Linked DNA regions of Sus scrofa. The protein of the gene in region 1 interacts with the protein of each later gene in a biochemical or structural test. Links are inferred from orthologs where the notes say so. Each region holds a gene or a part of one and is shown in the gene's direction. Other genes may lie near its edges.

What was found.
Region 2: the proteins of FZD7 (region 1) and SDCBP interact in a biophysical measurement, tested with the Homo sapiens proteins (2 studies listed by IntAct, with this or other methods). The link is inferred for Sus scrofa from reciprocal best matches to the Homo sapiens genes FZD7 and SDCBP.
Region 3: the proteins of FZD7 (region 1) and DVL1 form a complex in vitro, tested with the Homo sapiens proteins (2 studies listed by BioGRID and IntAct, with this or other methods). The link is inferred for Sus scrofa from reciprocal best matches to the Homo sapiens genes FZD7 and DVL1.

Annotation. Positions count from the first base shown.
Region 1 is NC_010457.5:105,642,684-105,647,033, forward strand, and holds the start of FZD7 (frizzled-7), read left to right. Parts: upstream 1-1,480; 5' UTR 1,481-2,327; coding exon 2,328-4,052; 3' UTR 4,053-4,350. UniProt on the Homo sapiens protein: Receptor for Wnt proteins.
Region 2 is NC_010446.5:74,301,020-74,304,660, reverse strand, and holds part of SDCBP (syntenin-1 CG9291-PB), read left to right. Parts: intron 1-2,135; coding exon of another isoform or gene 2,136-2,138; coding exon 2,139-2,297; intron 2,298-3,641. UniProt on the Homo sapiens protein: Multifunctional adapter protein involved in diverse array of functions including trafficking of transmembrane proteins, neuro and immunomodulation, exosome biogenesis, and tumorigenesis.
Region 3 is NC_010448.4:63,618,885-63,622,525, reverse strand, and holds part of DVL1 (segment polarity protein dishevelled homolog DVL-1), read left to right. Parts: coding exon 1-62; intron 63-144; coding exon 145-214; intron 215-296; coding exon 297-436; intron 437-514; coding exon 515-591; intron 592-663; coding exon 664-731; intron 732-887; coding exon 888-1,040; intron 1,041-1,619; coding exon 1,620-1,751; intron 1,752-1,837; coding exon 1,838-2,284; intron 2,285-3,484; coding exon 3,485-3,641. UniProt on the Homo sapiens protein: Participates in Wnt signaling by binding to the cytoplasmic C-terminus of frizzled family members and transducing the Wnt signal to down-stream effectors. Plays a role both in canonical and non-canonical Wnt signaling.

The DNA of each region.
Region 1 (4,350 bases):
TTTTCTTGCTGGAGAAGAGGCTCACCGTGGGCAGCAGAAGCAGCAAAAGCAGCAACTTTTGCAAACATGCATCCCAATCAGAAATCCCTCAGGGCTCCAGCGCCTGGAACTGAGCTGACAGAAGGAAAGGGCTCCGCCAGGAGTAACGTTTTCTAAGGCGTAAGATTGCTTTGTGCGTGAGTGTGTGAGAGAGAGAGGGAGACAGAGAGGGAGAAGCAGATTTTTCCTTTCTCAACATTGTCATTTTCCTGCATGGGAATTCAGGATATTCCTCGCTGTCCAGCGAGAAGGGAGAGCGGCCCCCCTCCCTCCTAACTTCTGATCTCGTCGGGAGTAAGCAGGGCGCGCGCGCGAGCGCCCATTGCCTTCAGCAGGGCGAAGATTTGACCGGGAACAAAAGAACGCTTGCCAATCGGAAAACGCTACCCGAAAACAGGATAACTTCTCTTTGTGTTTTGAAAACTAATTAGCAAATGCCCTTGGTTTCTAATACCCATTTAAACTTTTCAACGCATATTCCAAGGATCAAATCATTGCTTCTGCGACAAAGATGGGATCCCAACACGCCGCAGAACTAAGAAAAAGAGGATAAATACTCTCTCTAAACCGTACAGTGTTCCTGGGCACTCGGGTCGCAGGTTTTTTGTTTTTAATAGCCATTTCCCCCAACACTGTTTTCTTATGGCTCCATTAAAGCTATACCAGATCGCTAGACCCTGGGCCGTGCTCGCGGGCAGGGTGACTTGGGGTCGGGGTCCCCAGCGCCCGCGGCTCCCCAACCCTCTCCCCTCCAAGGGGTCTGCACTTCCTCCCGCCTTACGTCGGCCCCTTCGCCCGACTCCAATTTCTTCGCGGTCGCGGCCCCTCCTCCTTTTTACAACTGGGAGCGGGGATGAGAGGGGATTGTGGCCTCACGTGGTCTGTTAGAGTCGGGGGAGAGAAAAGCAATCCGCGATGCGCACCCTTTTCTGGCCCCATAGTGAACCCTTCATTTAGGACCCCGCTACCCAAAAGTCCCCCGCCAAGCCCAGCATTTTCAGCTCGGGGAGGGCTAACGTGACTCCGAGTCACGTCCCTATCTGCCGTGGCGCTGCTCTATTCTCAGCTTCTCCCCGTAAACTTCCCCCGTGCGCCCTTCTATTCAGGAATGTGTATTTTAGAGTACCCGGAAGAGGAACAAATCTTTCAAGCAAATTCCCTTTCTGGTGCGTTCCCCCCTCCGCTCCCCCCAGCGAATTCACGGTAAAAGTTTTTCTTAACTTTTCCCTCCCAGCCCCCGCCCCTCCCCTCAGGAATCCGCCCAGAGCGCTGCAGACTGTGCCTCTCGGGTTCCCTCGCCCGCCCCTTCCGACTTCCACCCAATCCGGAGGCGACCACACAGAAAACAAAGGCTGCCATTGGGCGGTCTTGGAGCTCCAGGGCCCGCCCCCGGAGTGGTTTGTGAATGGGGGGAGGGGAGAGGGCGGGGCGGCCCGGAATCCTGCGAGCGCGACGCTTCTTCTGCGGAGTTGCTGGGCTCCGAGACGTTACTCTGCGCTCCCTCCCGGCGGGCGGCGGCGGCGGCGGGCGCCGCGACTCACCGGCCGGGGCTGCGCGGGACTGGAGAGGCCAGGCCCAGGCCGCGAGCACGGGGGCCTCATAGCTTTGGACGCAGTGTGACTGGATTTCTTCAAAGAACTCGCAGAGCTCTTGGCTCCAAGACGCCGATAGGACTCAGAACGAGAATCAACCGTTTGGCTGAAACTTGGGGACAAGCTTTTGGGGCTGAAAAAGGAGCAGGGAGTGGAGAAGAAGGCGGCGGAGAAGGAGGTGGCGGCGAACTGAGCCTCGAGGCAAGGAGGCGGAGCAGCACCGCAGAGGCGGCGGCCTTGGCTAGCAAGCCGCGGCGCCGGGCTCTCGCTCGCCGGGGGCCCAGACGCAAGCGGGGGGCGCGCGCGTTACTGTGCGCTGTGAGTCAAGAGACTTGGGCAAACTTTGAAGGGTAACCGGAGACGCTTGTTGCTCTTCGCCGCAGAAAGAGCCGCACCGTTACGTCCCGGCGCGAGGAAAAGGCGTCTCCCCCCCATCGGCGCCCCCGGCCCAGGCAGACGTGTTTGGGCCCCCGGCGGCTGCGCGAGTGCTGGGCGGAGGCGGCGGCGGCGACGGCGCCCTTGCGGCGCGAGCACCCTAGCTACAGCGCCCTCGGCTCCGCACCGCCCACGGCCCGGCCCCGGCGCCGGGAGGACTCTCATGCGCCCGGCGCGGCGGCGCCTGCCGGGATCCCAGCCTCTCCTGGCTGTCTTGTCGCGTTTCTTGGGCTGAGAGCGCCGCTGCACCCGCGGCCGGCGATGCGGGGCCCCCGCACGGCAGCGTCGCCCTCGCCTCTGGGCCTGTGCACCATGGTGCTTGCAGTGCTGGGCGCACTGCCCGCGGGCGCCGGGGCGCAGCCGTACCACGGCGAGAAGGGCATCTCAGTGCCGGACCACGGCTTCTGCCAGCCTATTTCCATCCCTCTGTGCACGGACATCGCCTACAACCAGACCATCCTGCCCAACCTGCTGGGTCACACGAACCAAGAAGATGCGGGCCTCGAGGTGCACCAGTTCTACCCGCTGGTGAAGGTGCAGTGTTCTCCCGAGCTGCGCTTCTTCCTGTGCTCCATGTACGCACCCGTGTGCACCGTGCTCGATAAGGCCATCCCGCCGTGCCGTTCTCTGTGCGAGCGTGCCCGCCAGGGGTGTGAGGCGCTCATGAACAAGTTCGGCTTCCAATGGCCCGAGCGGCTGCGTTGCGAGAACTTCCCTGTGCACGGCGCCGGCGAGATCTGCGTGGGCCAGAACACGTCCGACGGCTCCGGGGGCCCAGGCGGCGGGCCCACCGCCTATCCTACAGCGCCCTACATGCCCGACCTGCCCTTCACCGCGCTGCCCCCGGGAGCCGCTGACGGCAGGGGCCGCTCGGCCTTCCCCTTCTCGTGCCCCCGCCAGCTCAAGGTGCCCCCCTACCTGGGCTACCGCTTCCTGGGCGAGCGCGACTGCGGCGCCCCCTGCGAGCCGGGCCGCGCCAACGGCCTCATGTACTTTAAGGAGGAGGAGAGGCGCTTCGCCCGCCTCTGGGTGGGCGTGTGGTCAGTGCTGTGCTGCGCCTCGACGCTCTTCACGGTGCTCACCTACCTAGTGGACATGCGGCGCTTCAGCTACCCGGAGCGGCCCATCATCTTCCTGTCGGGCTGCTACTTCATGGTGGCCGTGGCGCACGTGGCCGGCTTCCTGCTGGAGGACCGCGCCGTGTGCGTGGAGCGCTTCTCAGAAGACGGCTACCGCACGGTGGCGCAGGGCACCAAGAAGGAGGGCTGCACCATCCTCTTCATGGTGCTCTACTTCTTCGGCATGGCCAGTTCCATCTGGTGGGTCATCTTGTCGCTCACTTGGTTCCTGGCCGCTGGCATGAAGTGGGGCCACGAGGCCATCGAGGCCAACTCTCAGTACTTCCACCTGGCTGCGTGGGCGGTGCCCGCTGTCAAGACCATCACCATCCTGGCCATGGGCCAGGTGGACGGGGACCTGCTCAGCGGGGTTTGCTACGTGGGCCTGTCCAGCGTGGACGCGCTGCGGGGCTTCGTGCTGGCGCCCCTGTTCGTCTACCTCTTCATCGGCACGTCCTTCCTGCTGGCCGGCTTCGTGTCGCTTTTCCGCATCCGCACCATCATGAAGCACGACGGCACCAAAACGGAGAAGCTGGAGAAGCTCATGGTGCGCATTGGCGTCTTCAGCGTGCTCTACACCGTGCCCGCCACCATCGTCCTGGCCTGTTACTTCTACGAGCAGGCCTTCCGCGAACACTGGGAGCGCACCTGGCTCCTGCAGACGTGCAAGAGCTACGCGGTTCCCTGCCCGCCCGGCCACTTCCCGCCCATGAGCCCTGACTTCACCGTCTTCATGATCAAATACCTGATGACCATGATCGTAGGCATCACCACGGGCTTCTGGATCTGGTCCGGCAAGACCCTGCAGTCGTGGCGCCGCTTCTACCACAGACTCAGCCACAGCAGCAAGGGGGAGACGGCGGTATGAGCCCCAGCCCCTCCCCCACCCTTCCTTCTCCCACCCCCACCCCCCTCGCAGGGGGAAAGGCGCGGTAGGGACAGAATTGCCGGGTGGGGGGCTTGTTTCTGTAACCTCCCTCCCCTCCAGTGAGAAGTGACCTGGAAGAGAGACGATAACGTGTAGATTTGGGACGAGGCGTGGGTTTGGAAAGGAGGCCTGAGTGGAAAGGCGGTTTGGATGAAAAGACTTGTGGCCGAGACTCCAGGGTGATGATGATGATGGTGATGATGATAACAACGCTGTAAATCCTGAACGGTCCAGGCCG
Region 2 (3,641 bases), on another chromosome or scaffold:
ACCTGCCTTTATTTATTCACCAAATAATTTATGGAAGACTTGCTTACATCAGTCAGGGCCCAGTTGGGACAATAGAAATCATAGTAAATATTTAAAACAAAAATGGAACACAGATGTCTCTGCAGAAAGTAGCTGTTTCTCTGACGACAGGTCAGAGGTTAGAGTTTCAGGGTGTGAGCCGGGCCTCAGAGGAGGGGACACTGCTGTGGGTACTGTCACCTCGGAGGGGTTTGGAGGTCTGATTTGGGGGTGTGGTAAAGTCTGGAGAATGGAATCCACTGCTGCCGGCAGGGCGAAGGGCTAGCTCCAGGCAGTGCGGACCAAAGCCAGAGCAGACAGGAAGGAGCCAGGCGCCTGCCCCTCCCCCAGCCACCCTGTCTCCCTCTGGTGCCTCTCAGGGTGCTGGCCAGGAACCACAGAGGACAGTGTCTTTTGCACAGTCCAAGTGGAGTCTGGACTGGTGGGTTTGCAGGTGATGGGTAGGAGGTTCATACCTGGCGCTGCCTGCTCCTTCGACCACTCAGTATAACCACACTTTTCTTTATGGAGTAGTTTCCCCTTAAAAGATGCAATTCCTCACAAAATTGAGGTTCAACATTGTCTATTAAGAGACCCATGTTAAGTGTTTTATGCTTTGCTGGCCACACGTCAGTACATACAGAGAACTCCAAGTACAGAAGAGAACTTGTAGACCCAAGATAAGGCCTTGGTGATGGCAGACAAGGCAGAATGTGGAGGCAGATGGCCCTGGAGGGTTAGTGGTGGTGAGGGACTGGGGTCTGCATTGTGGAAGATAATCAGGGGTATCATCTGATCTCTGTGCTGCTGTGTGGAGAATGGTTAGTGGAAGGGCAGGAGCTGAAGCAGAGCTGATCTGGAAGGTTGTGAGAGTAGCCCTTGTCACATGTCATTTGTCAGAATGGGCAAGGGGGCAAAGGTCATAGGATGCTGCTCATATGCTCGCAGTGGAAGAACATGTAGTAAGTTCTTGAGAATACTTGCTAGAAGAAATAAAAATTACTTTTCCAGGAGTTCCTGTTGTGGCGCAGTGGTTAACGAATCCGACTAGGAACCATGAGGTTGTGGGTTCGGTCCCTGCCCTTGCTCAGTGGGTTAAGGATCCGGCATTGCCGTGAGCTGTGGTGTAGGTTGCAGACGTGGCTCGGATCCCGCGTTGCTGTGGCTCTGGCGTAGGCTGGTGGCTATGGCTCCGATTAGACCCCTAGCCTGGGAATCTCCATATGCCGCAGGGGCGGCCCAAGAAATAGCAAAAAAAAAAAAAAAAAAAAAAAATTACTTTTCCAAAAGGAAAACCCACTCCAAAGCTCTTCCTTTTTGTCCTATATTCCAGCTAAGCTAAATTCATTTTCTTATGTTTTTCTTTTTCTATCTCATTACTTGATTTATAGTCCCCTATAATCATTGAATCTTTGTAATTCCTTAAAAACAATATTTTCTGGTATTGTAATTTGTAGCGTTGCTGTGCGTTATCAACTTTAGAATGTGCTGTTGGAATTACCATGAATTCTGAACAAATCAATTTGCAGTCTGCAGTATATGTATGTGTAGTTTTCCCTATTATTGCTACTCTGAGCACCACAGTTATTAGGTAGGTCAGTGCTTCAAGAAAACTTGAAAAATATGAGGATCTTGAAACAGTACCTTACTGAGCCCTGGGGCAGCTATTCTAGGGCAGTCTGGTTTGTCCAGAGATGGTTAATCCATAGGTGAGAAATGTTTGTCTTGTGTGGGTCAGCACTCATCTGATGTACACTTTTCTTTCAGTCTTCACAGTGGATTTAAAGTTACCCTTTTTATAGAAACTCTGAAAGGGTAAGTAGATTGTTGAAGATGAGGTCATATGACAGAACCCTCTGGAAGATGCTGTGCGAATTTCAGCAGTGTGATATGGCCTTTATAAAAGTTCAAGGATAATACATTTGAGTTGAAGACAAGCCAAAGTCCACATTAAACATCATGAGGCAAAACTTTTAAAGGATCATTTTTGCAAAAATCAGACTATCTGAAGGAAGTAATTTGCAGATTACATTTTGTGAAACCACAACTGAATATATTTTTTAGATTTTTTTAGGGAGACTGTTTGTATATATTGTATATATTTGTGTTTTTGTCAGCAGTTGGTTGCAAGACCTTCCAGCATGAACTATATGGTGGCTCCTGTAACTGGTAATGACGCTGGAATCCGTAGAGCAGAAATTAAGCAAGGGATTCGTGAAGTCATTTTATGTAAGGATCAAGATGGAAAAATTGGGCTCAGGCTTAAATCAGTAGATAATGTAAGTATTTTTAATATTTACCTAAATTTGTCTAAATAGCTTAGAGGATATTAAGGGAACAATGTTAATTTAAAATGTAAATGTTTTAACTATAATGGTATCTATAATTGACAGTATTTTAAATCTCAAGATGCCCTATTCTGAAGAGGCAAAGTTGTGACTTCCAATATTATTTTCAGTGGATTTTTCTTTTTTGAAGTTGTCTTCCTAGAATAAAGTTCTAAGTCTGCAGGTATTATAACAGTTTATACAGTTAGAATTCTGGCTAAGGCAACACTCGTGGAAGTTGAGAGAAGACTGACCAGTGAGAATCAGTGGTCTCATATGTAATAAGCTAAATAAACTAAATGAGGGTCATCTAAGCCAAGATGTGGCGGTACAGGCTTGGCTTTCGGACATTTGAGTTGAATATGGCATTTTCTGGGCAGCAGTGAGTGGACCTCTTACCCTACCAGACTGAAGAACTTAACACTGGCCCCTCGGAGGAAGCATCTAGGATGGTGGAGGACCTGCTGGGTCTGTACTGTGTCTGTGGTTTTCTGCAGTACTTGATTCCTTTTCAGTGCTCGGTCTTGTTGCTGTGTGTGCCCAGTCTTTGTGGCACTTGGCCGAAGATGCAGGTAGCTGGTCTTGGCAGGAAGCCCCAGCCCGCCGGCCTGCCTCCCTGAGGTGTGAGGGTCTCGTGTCTTTTGCACACTTGTGGTTTGGGCAAGACACGTCGGCTCTGAGCAGCTTGGACTTCACTGCCCTGCCCTCCTCTTCTATGAATAGTTTATGCTGTGCCCCCTGCTCCCCAGCAGAGAAAGAACCCACGCTCTCCACGGCCCATCCGCCACAGCAGTTAGCCTTGCACTGCGTGTGTCCGCTTGGCTGAAGCTCCTTGACCTGACTTTTGCAGGAAGCTGCCTCGTTTTCAGGTTCATTCCAGAAATAAGGCACATGAGATCACATCCAGCCCAGCTTGAAATGGGAGAATGGAGCTGGCTAGCCTTGGAGATACTTTGTTGTGTTCATCAGGCTTACTCTTTTATATGTATTTGTATTGTGTTCAACATCTGTGATAAGACTGACAGACATAAGTCTCAAAGTAAAACTATCCATGTGGGTTCAGTTCTTAAACTGGAGTGGTATTGAAGATGGTTTTTTTTTTTTTTTTTTTGGTCTTTTTAGGGCCACACCCACAACACATGGAATTTCCCAGGCTAGGGGTCCAATCAGAGCTATAGCTCCTGGTCTGCGCCACAGCTGCTTTGGGATCCGAGCCTCGTCTATGGCCCACACCACCGCTCACAGCAATGCTGGATCCTTAGCCCATGAGGGAGGCCAGGGATCAAACCTGTGTCC
Region 3 (3,641 bases), on another chromosome or scaffold:
CCCGGCTCATCCGGAAGCACAAGCGGCGCCGGCGGAAGCAGCGCATGCGCCAGACGGACCGCGTAGGTGGAGGGGGTGCGGGCCGCTCTGTCCCCTGGGGCCGCCGCGCCGCCCGCAGCCCCTCACCCAGGGCCGCCCCCGCAGGCCTCCTCCTTCAGCAGCATCACGGACTCCACCATGTCGCTGAACATCATCACCGTCACGCTCAACATGGGTGAGGCCTCTGCCGCCGCCGCCGCCAGAGGGGCCCGGGGCTCGGGGGCGGGGGGCGCTTGTTCACACACCCGGCCCCGCAGAGAGGCACCATTTCCTGGGCATCAGCATCGTGGGCCAGAGCAACGACCGGGGCGATGGCGGCATCTACATCGGCTCCATCATGAAGGGCGGGGCTGTGGCCGCCGACGGCCGCATCGAGCCGGGCGACATGCTGCTGCAGGTGTGGGGCTGCCAGGGGCCGCGGGGAGGGGCGGGCGAGGTCTGCACCCCCCACCACTGTGCTGACCCCCCGCCCCAGGTGAATGACGTCAACTTCGAGAACATGAGCAACGACGACGCCGTGCGGGTGCTGCGGGAGATTGTGTCCCAGACGGGGTGAGGCGCGCGCGTGGCGGGGGGAGGGGGTGCTGCTTGGGGCCTCGCCGGTGTGACCCGCCCACCCCGCAGGCCCATCAGCCTCACGGTGGCCAAGTGCTGGGACCCAAGCCCTCGGAGCTACTTCACCATCCCGAGGGGTGAGTGACCCCCCCGGGGCTGGCGGGGCAGGGCGGGGGCGGGGGCGGGGGCGCCCAGCCCAGCCTGAAGGGCCTCTCTCCCTGTGCTCCTGTGCCCCTGTGCTCTGCCTTCTTCCCCACTGTCCATTCGTCTGTCGCCACACGGTGGCTGCCCAGCTGACCCGGTTCGGCCCATCGACCCGGCCGCCTGGCTGTCCCACACGGCGGCGCTGACCGGAGCCCTGCCCCGCTACGGTACGAGCCCCTGCTCCAGCGCCGTCACGCGCACCAGCTCCTCCTCACTAACCAGCTCTGTGCCCGGCGCTCCGCGTAAGTGGCGGCTCCTGAGATCAGAAAACGGAGGCACCCGTGAGGGCCCAGCCGAGGCGCCTGCCTGGCACGGCCACCCCCGAGGGCCATCCCGGCTTGAGCGTTGGTGCTGGTGCCAGGCCCACGAGGGCGGACACTGTACCCTGGGGTCACGGACACATGGGCGCCCACGCTCGCACCCTCTTCCCAGCCCTCTGTCTGTAGTGGGAGGGAAGGGCCTGGGGGGCCGGGCCGGGCCTGCCCAAGGGTCTGCTATCTGGCAGGGGCAGGCGGCATCCGTGTGGCCCTCACGCTGCTTTTCTGCCACTAACATGACTAATAGGCCCAGCTTGCGGGGAAGGGGGTGGAGGGGGTCTGGTCTCCGCCCCGTGGGGTCCGGTCTGCAGGGCGGGGGTGGCCTCGCCTGGTTGGCCACAAGACCTGGTGAAGCATCTCCCTGTTGGAGATGAGGCCCCACCCTCCCCGCCCCAGGCCGCTCCCTGACCCTGTGCGGGCGGTCGGGTGGGTGGTGGAGGGTCCTTGCGGCCGTGCTCGCGGCTGTGCTCCCGGCCGTGGCTGAGCGCGGGGTGTGCCTTGCAGAGCTGGAGGAGGCGCCCCTGACGGTGAAGAGTGACATGGGTGCTGTCGTCCGGGTCATGCAGCTGCCGGACTCGGGCCTGGAGATCCGCGACCGCATGTGGCTCAAGATCACCATCGCCAATGCCGTCATCGGTGCGGGGCCCTGGGCAGCGGGGGGCTTGGGGGCGGTGGGGCGCGGCCCAGGCTCCCCACCTGACGCCTGACGCCGGCTGCGCCAGGGGCGGACGTGGTGGACTGGCTGTACACGCACCTGGAGGGCTTCCGCGAGCGGCGGGAGGCGCGCAGGTACGCCAGCAGCATGCTGAAGCGCGGCTTCCTGCGGCACACGGTCAACAAGGTCACCTTCTCCGAGCAGTGCTACTACGTCTTCGGGGACCTGTGCAGCAGTGAGTGGGGGCCACGGGCAGAGGGCCCCGGAGGACCCGCCCGCCTCCCCTTACCTGCCCCCCCTCCTGCAGATCTCGCAGCCCTGAACCTCAACAGCGGCTCCAGTGGAGCCTCCGATCAGGACACGCTGGCCCCGTTGCCCCACCCGGCTGCCCCCTGGCCCCTGGGCCAGGGCTACCCCTACCAGTACCCGGGGCCCCCGCCCTGCTTCCCACCCGCGTACCAGGACCCTGGCTTCAGCTACGGCAGCGGCAGCGCTGGGAGCCAGCAGAGTGAAGGTGAGGGCCCGCCGGCCAGCGTCCAGCTCCCTGCCTGCCCACCTGGCTCTGCCCTGTTGCCCACCCCCTCCCCGCCCCCCGCCCTGTGCGCTCCCACCTGCTCTGTGCTCGGGCCCTGGGTGGCTTCTTCTGGAAGGGGTGAGTGGTTAGAAGCTTCAGGGGTTGGGGGGGGGCGCTGGTGTTCCAGACGTGGCAGAGGCCGAGGCAGGAGGTGGTGTGGGAATGGGGGCTGGGGGTGTGGGGGGACATGCGGGGCCCTGGGACGTAGTGGAGGACAGACACCTCCCCCGGCCCCCTGTGGTGGCCTGGAACCAGCAAGGGGCAGTTTCGCAGACACACGCGGCCTGTGGCGGAGATGCGTGGGGAAGTGGGGCAGAGGTGGGGGCTCGGGGTCCCCAAGGAGAAGCTTCATGGGAATAGTGTCCCAAGGCTGAGGGTCAGGGAGGTTAGCCGGCACATGCCCCTGCACCCAGCACACCGGAGGGGGTGCGGAGAGCAGCTGCTCAGAGGGCAACAGAGTCCAGGGAGAAGCTGTGTCAGGTGCCTGTGGGCCCTGGACAGGTCCAGCTGGCAGGGGGCATGCCCTGGGCGGCGGGGTGGGTGCCCGGGCCGGGCCGGTGTGTAACTCCTCTGTCCCTTGCTTTGTGCTGAGCAAGCCTTAGACTGAAGGACTAGCGGAACGGACCCTCAGGGCCGGTAAGCCAGGGTCCTGCCCCGCGCCCCTGTCGGCACGTCCCCAGCCAGGGGGCGTCTTCAGGTTTCCGGCACTTCCTGAGAGCCCAGGAGGGGCTGAGCTGAGCAGCTGGCCGGGGTTCTGGGGTCAGATCAGAGGAGGGTCTTTGGGGCGGGGCGTCCAGAACGGCCGGCCGGTGTGCGGGCGCACAGGGTCTTCTCTGGGCCTCGCTTTCTCAGCAGCAAGACCAGGCCCTTGGTTCAGGCGCTGGGGTGAGGAGTCAGGCACAAGCTGGCCTCGGCATGTCCCTGCTTGTCTGCCCCCCTCCGCTGTCCCCCGTCTGCTTCCACTGCTTCCCCGGGCGAGGCCAGCCCAGCCCTCGTGTCTGCATGGCTGCCCACCACCCCCGCCCCAGGCTCAGGACCACCGGGTTCTGCTCCTGGTTGCCCCGGCAACGGCCACCTGTCCCAGGAGAAGCCAGGCCTGACACTGACTGGCCCATTCCTCTCCCTACTTCTTGACCCCAGGAAGCAAAAGCAGTGGGTCCACCCGAAGTGCTGGCGGGAGCAGCCGTCGGGCCCTGGGTCGAGAGAAGGAGAGCCGGTCGGCTGGAGCTGGGGGCAGTGGCAGCGAGTCGGACCACACAGCGCCAAGCGGGGCCGGTGGCAGTGGCTGGCGGGAGCG